2 linked regions of the Solanum lycopersicum genome follow. The protein of the gene in region 2 interacts with the protein of the main gene of each other region in a pairwise test. Links are inferred from orthologs where the notes say so. Each region holds a gene or a part of one and is shown on either strand. Other genes may lie near its edges.

What was found. The genes of interacting proteins can lie anywhere in the genome.
Region 1: the proteins of uncharacterized protein (region 2) and uncharacterized protein interact in a two-hybrid assay, tested with the Arabidopsis thaliana proteins (2 studies listed by BioGRID, with this or other methods). The link is inferred for Solanum lycopersicum from reciprocal best matches to the Arabidopsis thaliana genes AT3G02420 and AT5G49540.

The regions. Positions count from the first base shown.
Region 1 is NC_090800.1:62,623,007-62,626,765, reverse strand, and holds the start of uncharacterized protein, read left to right. Parts: upstream 1-1,014; 5' UTR 1,015-1,183; exon of another isoform or gene 1,184-1,526; intron 1,527-1,652; 5' UTR 1,653-1,669; coding exon 1,670-1,785; intron 1,786-2,831; coding exon 2,832-3,027; intron 3,028-3,759.
Region 2 is NC_090802.1:12,575,181-12,578,939, reverse strand, and holds the start of uncharacterized protein, read left to right. Parts: upstream 1-1,280; 5' UTR 1,281-1,412; coding exon 1,413-1,589; intron 1,590-2,533; coding exon 2,534-2,660; intron 2,661-2,779; coding exon 2,780-2,880; intron 2,881-3,759.

The DNA.
Region 1 (3,759 bases), on a different chromosome or scaffold from region 2:
CTACAGAAAAGGGCCTAAAATACCCTTAAAGTATTGGAAATGGTACAAAATTACCCTCCATCCATCTATTGGCTCTAAAATACCCTCTCACCCACCTATTGGGTCCAAAATACCCTTGTCATCCACCTTTTGGTTCAAAATTGACCACTTATTTAACGGTTTTATATTTAAACTATTTAAATATTTTTTTAAATATGTGGCGCTCAACTATTTGTTATAATTTAACTTATTAGTATAATTTATAAATCAATCCACTACCCACCCATTACTAATTAAACTCCTCTAAATTAATAAACCCGTCACATTATTAATGCAACAATAGAACAGCTACTGCCAACTGAGTGTTTTTTAAAAAATTTAGGCGAAAATATCTATAGAAGTAAATTATTATACATTCAAGTGTCTAAATAAAAATTATCGATAAACTTAAAAGTATGACTATGTTCATCTTAATAATTTTTACGTCTCAATTATGTGATGTTACTTCATAGGTAACTTTTTTTCAAAATAATATATTAAAGGTTTTAAAACAAATCATAAATATTTATAAAATTATATTTAAAAATAGTGCATGAATTAATTGGGGATGCATTGCTTTTTTACCTTTAATCATAAATTTCTAATTCAATCTTGAAAGAGAATTCTATTGAAAGTATCCTCTTAATTCGATACGGACTCGAATAATTTTGAATGTCATTTTCAGGAATCTATAATTTCGTCGTGTTTTAGTAGTGTTATAACGATTTTGATATTATAATTGGATTACTAATTCGGTGGGGTTTAGTTAGTAATGAGTGGGTAGTGATTTGATTTATAAATTATATTAATAAATCAAATTGTAATCAATAGTCGAACGTCAAGTATTTTAATAAAATATATAAAAAGTTTAATTTTAATTTTGAACCCAAAGATGTCAAAGTTGGATGAGAAGGATATTTTAGAGCCAACAAATAAATGAAAAGCGCATATTGAAGTTAATAAATGGATGAATGATAATTTTATATCATTTTTAATACTACAAGTATTTTAGGCTTTTACTTATATTCTATTTAGTATAAGGACTAGGCTAGAGGTTGAGCGAGGGATATTTTGGTCCTTCAATCTCAGAGTTCGTTCTGCCATTGCTTCTTACGGTGCTCTCACAATTAGTAATCATCGCCATCGCCTTAATCAGATTTGTTTGGTTTGTCTCTTTTTATCTCTTTCCGTCTATGTATGTATATGTATATTTACTGTTTCTGTGGATGCTTGCGATTCGGAGTGTGTGTTCATATTTAAGCGAACTGAATTTGAGATATGTAATTTTGAGGTTTTGAGCCGCCCTTGAAGAAACTTCAATTTTCTCTTGTGTTGGTTGAATCCACCAACTGAGGTAGTTTGAATCGAACTGGCTATGATTCGACTTCTTAGTTATGATCATAGAATCAATCAATTGTAACGGGAAGAGTTTGAATTGAACTGGATATGACATCCATGGAAGAACATCTGAATGTTTATGTATTTCATTATCTTATAGGATATCTTGGGTAAATTATTTTGTTATGTTGATGAATTCAATCTTCTTTCTAACTGAGATAGTGAGTGACCACAAAGTTCTATTCTCGATCTACATCTCAACTTCTCTATTCTTATTATTTTGATGTTTGCTGTAGAATTCCAAAAAGGCGCGATGGCTGGGCATGATAACTCGAACGGATCTACAGAAAAGTCGACCAGTGGTATGGATGATTTGCCCACTTTCAATGCTGAGAATATGCAAAACAACATGAAAGTTATTCTTTACAGGTTGGTTTGAGTTTGACACCATATTTAGGTGGACTGAAATTATAGTTCCTTGATGATTTTGGATAGTAACAATTTAGCTGATTTTTCTTATAAAGTCTGGATGTAGGTTGATACAGACTATCGATGTGAATTTCATCCTCAATTATGTGACACTGATGTTAGCCCAACTGAACAACTGGTTGAAATTAGGGATTATATACTCATGTAGCTTTAACTCCTTCACTGAGGCATCATTTCGGTGGAACGTCACTAGGATATAGAATAAAGAATATGGTATAAGTTTAATTAGATAACTTACCTCATTAAGTAGCCTCAGTCTAGCTTCTTTACATCTGTGGGATTACACTTCTACATTGGTATGATTAGTATGTATTTTGGCCAATTGGGTTGCAGTCCTTGATTTCTTCCTATCTTCCTTTCACCCAAGACTATTACTCCTTGCCCTTAAACAGAAAGTGTGTTTGCCCTTGGTACAGTTGTATGCTTGCCTGTAATTGCTAGAGGAGATACGTATAGTCCTATATCCGTTTTTTATCTCTGTAAAGTCCTACAAGTACCTCAATCACCAATTAAACAAACTAATGCCCTAAACCAAGAACTGCAGATTGTAATCATATTAATGGCGAATTTAACCTTTTAAACTTACAATTAATGAATTAGTTGTAGTTTTGAATAATTTCTTTTTGATCAGTAAAGTAATAGCTTTTTGAGTAATTGAACAGTTAATACCTGTTTCCAATGCTAGCGGAAGTCCTGGGACTACCCTTGTCATTTTGCCTCTACAGCAAAGCAACCCCAAGCTCCATAAACTTATCTAAAAAAAGGAAAAATAAACAAATAAATCTGAGCTCTGTGTTGCAACTGTCGACAAAGAAATGTAATACTTGATCACAGAGTTGGAGCAGAAGGATAAATAAAAATATGATTGAGACAGGCAATCAATCATATATTAACAAGAAAATGGGTTCTTTTCGTCTTTCTAAGCTAGTAGATTTTCTTCCTTGTCATTGGATATCTCCATTTACATTGAGCATTCTGTTGTTCAGCCGCACATTCATGGCAATCATTGGTGGTGTCATTGCCGGCATTCTGGGACTTACTAGCTTGACAGGATTTATATTTTATTTCCTTGTCATGGCAATAACTTCAGTTGCACTCACGGCAAAGGCCAAGTTTTCAATCCACTCCTACTTTGACAGCTGGAACAGAGTCTTGCTTGATGGATTTTTTGGCGGTCTTATGGTAACTTCTTTACATTCATAATAAGATCTCTTCTTCATACGTTCTTTATTTATTCTGACCCTTCATCTAGAAATAATTCATCTCCCTGCTCAATCACCTGCACAAGGTTAAAAGGATAGAATATTATAAAACAATTACTTCCGTTCAAAATCATACCCCCTCCATTTCAATTTGTTAGTCCTATCCTTTTTAGTATGTTTCAACAAGAATATCTCTTTCCTTCTTTGGTAACTCTTTAACATTAACTTTCCGCATGGCATATTTAAGACCAGAAGATTAAAGGGCACTTTGTTACATTTGACTATCTTTAATTTAAGACCACAAGATTTGAAAGTCTTCTTTATTTTCTTAAACTCCTTGCCAAGTCAAAACATGACAAATAAATTAAAACGGAGGGAGTGATATTTTTTTGAACCCCTGATTAATTTGTCTACCCTGCCTCGCTTTTTCTGCCTGTTTCTTTAATACCCTTATGGAAGTTTATTCTCAATTCATTTTCCAGTTATGAATTCTTTTCATATCATCTTAACTTTCTTTATTCAAATTTCTCTTTAAGTTACTTAATTATTGGAACTTATTATCAATGTAGGTGAGATTTTGTTGATCAGAATCATGTTTGTCAGTATTCCTGTGGATCTTCTTGATTAATTTTAGGGTGATGGGTTTGTTTTTAGGTCTTTTTTTTTGGCAACTAATAAAGAAATAGGTTTCCTGGCTATCTGTGGACAAGGG
Region 2 (3,759 bases):
TTTGTGTGAGTTAGTGATATGATATTGTGAAATGTGAATTATGGGTGAACTTACAACGAAATCACTGTAAGATTACTGTAGGTTTACTGTAATGTTCTTGTAAATTGAACATAATTGGTAAATGTGTTCTAATAATAATGTTTGGTGCTTAAATGTGGTTCTTATACTTTTAATATGATGTTTTAATTAAAAAAAAAAAGAGCATGTTTCTCATAAATGTCAGTTTCTCATGATTTTATGCATTAAGTCATACTTAGTACATGTGTTTATACTAATTCCATACTTTTTGTCTATCTCTAAAGGTATGATAAACAGGTGAGAGAAATCTTGGAGCAAGCTTGGAATCTAGTAATCGTTCAAGCAAAGTTGAAGTATGTCCTCACTTGAGTCGAGGGCATACCTATCTTTAGACTTATTTTATTCAAGTATTGTAATAGACTAAGTAATTCTATATTCGTATTGTATGGGCCGTGTCCCAAATATTCTTGTGTTTAAAATTGGCATATGTTGAGACTTAGTATTTTCATATGATATTAATTTCAAAGATGTTTTAAGATATTTCGTGTGAAAAGTTTTAATTTCGCACTACTTTTCATACATATATATACTGAATGATGTCAAAGGCCTTGTACAAGACCTCCGAGAGGTCAAGTACGCCATGTCACACTCCGAGAGTGTCATATCTTCTATGATGTGCTCCGGGGTGTGACAATGTAATTCTTCTAGGTATTCCAGACACTTTGTATGAAGATAATGTTGTATGTATAGCTCGATTGAAGAGAGGATACATCAAAAGAGACTGGACAAAGTACATTTCACTAAAGTTCTTCTTCACATGTGATCGTCTACAAAATAATGAGATAGATCTTGCAAACTTATTTATTAAGCTGTTGCCAATATCAATATTTGAGAAGTTGAGGTATAAGATTGGAATGTGTCATCTCTTAGATGAGTGGATTGTCTATTGAGTTAATACATGAATAACTATTCATATTCCGTAGGTTCTATTAACCTTTATAGATAAGAATGTATGTATTTATTATGATACTTAATATGATGATTTTTGGAATGATTTCTCAACTTAGAAATAAGGTTTTTCTTTCCCCATTATAAAGATGAAAGAAGAAGACATTTGAATAAAATGATCTCTACACTCTATTCCTCATGTATCTTTGTCTATATTATTTCTAGCATATTACTTTTTTTTTTTTTTATAACAAGTACTTCATATTTAATATTATTCTTATATATTCTATTAAATAAATAGTGGTATGTATCTGTATTTTGATGGTATCTTTAGTGAAAAGTCAAAACCCCAATATTCCTTGAAAACCCTTAACGGTGTCGTATTTTACTCGTATCGAGATATCTAGAGTGGAGAGGTTTGAGTTGTAGGAGAGGAGGAGGAAGAAATGGGAGGAGGAGAAGAAGATCAACAGAAATTGAAGAACACAGCAGCAGCAGCGTATGACTACGAGAATGATCCGAGATGGGCAGATTATTGGTCCAATATACTCATTCCTCCTCACATGGCTTCTCGTTCTGATGTCGTCGACCATTTCAAGCGCAAGTTTTATCAACGATACATAGTCAGTATCTTAACTTATTCGAAATCATTCCACTTCACATGGGGTTTACTACTACATTATCTTTTATTAATTAATGTGTTAATCTCGATTACTCTTGTTTATACTTTGTTGGGACTTGGGACTCCGGTTTTTATGTTTTCAAGCCCTAGTCTTACAAGGCTCTTAGTTCTAAATTTTTCTTAATTCAATTTAACCAAAGGGTTTCTGGAAAAGGTTGGGTTTTGGGTAAATCAGTGGCTTATACTTCATTCCAAGTTGAGAGGGGTTCATTGATTATTTGTTATAATGTCTACAATGGATGAATTTAATGGTATTAGCTTGTAACTCTGAGTTGATTGTACACAAATTTCAGGGACTTCTACTCTCTGCACTGAAAATATCTGTAAAATTTTCCAAATATTGCATCTCTTTTCTTTGTGGTGTGGATTGTTTGAGTATGTCATTCTTCAAAATGAAGCTGAGTTTTTAGGCTTTTTTTTTGTTTCAAAAACACAATCCTTTAGTTTTGTCAAAAACTCTATTTTTTGGGGTTCCCAGCCAGAAATCAAAGAAATAAAAAATGAAGTCTACTTAAAATTAAGATTATTGTTAGATGTATACCTTATTTCACCTGATTAATCACCTCATCCTCCCTTTTCTTGGGGGAACAGAGGAAAGTCAGAAGGGAGGCTCCTAATCATGTCAAATAATAGTGTGTGAATACTCCTAGGCTCTTAGCAATGTTTTCCTGATACCAAAATGAGATTTTTAAAACACAATAATGATAAGAGTGGGGAGTCGGTTCAAGTTCTTGAAGTAGCCCTTCTGCAATTTTGACAGATGCTTTAGCTTTGTTGTACTTAAAATACCATTTCAGATATCTGCAGTGGGACACATCTTTACATTTTTGTGTTGATCTTGGGGTATTGCTTTGGTTTGTTTGATTCTATATCCATTATTTTCAGGACCCTGGTCTAGTGGTTGAGCCAATGGCTACCAGCAGTTCGTCCCAACCAGCAAAACCATCAGTTGCTCAACCATCATCATCATCGTCCACACCTTCTAATAACCAGCCAAGACAGCGTAACTCTGGTATGATTTTTTTTTAGTTTCAACTAAATGGGAAGTGCCTTCCTTCTGGAGAAATTATTCACTTCAGATATAAATCTTTGGTTCATTTAAATGCAATTTATGTAATTTTTCTTGTGTAGGTCAAGCTAGTAGAACTTCAGGCACGCCAACTACTCCAACTTCAAATCCGACATCACTTCGCTGGGACCGAAATACTATACAATTTTCAGTGAATGCTTGGGTACTGTATATTCACATGTACACTAGATATGGGAAACATGTGGACATTTTCCTTATAGAAACACAATAATATTGTAGAAAATCATGTTTGAGTTAGAATATTGAAGTTTTTGATATACCGTAGAGATCAAATGGTCAACTTATTATTATTAGCAGTAACGGAAAGGTGGATTATATACAACAAGGGCAGAATCTTCATGCCTTTAAACTAATATATCTCGTGTACCTACATAGGGTAGAGTGTGTCTATGGAAAATTTCAGTATAGGATTTTTCTTCCCAAGGATCTTCTACAACCTTGTTTTCAATTTATTTGTTATTTGAAATCTGGCATGGTCATAAAATTGAAAAAGAAAAGCAGAAAGGTTGTGAGGAAGAGTTGATTTTAGTATCAGTTGGAGACAACTTTGCATAATAGCCTTTTATTTCTCGAGGTCGCTGTGATATCAAAAATAGTATTGGTTTAAGTTATTCTAGTGACTAGATGTCTAGATCTGTGAAAAAAAAAATACTCGTGTACATGTTTGTGTCAGATTTGTTTACTTTAGCCTCATTCGTTAGTTATTCTAAATGTCATGGTGCATTAATTTTTTCTGCACTCCACCCCCACCCCCTCCAAAAAAGTGTCTTTTGTCGTCTGTTGCATAAGTTGGACACATCATAGAAATTCTATGCTAAGACCTCTCGGAAACTTGTGAGTCAAGGTTTCTTGAAGTTCCTATCATCATTTTGCTTCTCCAAGGCTAATTTTTCATTATCATTTCTTCTTGTTTCCTGGTATATTCTCTTGTGCCTTTGAGCTGAAGTTTGGGACACACTGAACACCATATTGATAATTGGATTTGATACTGTTGCATTGGTATTACTACAAAAATAATCAG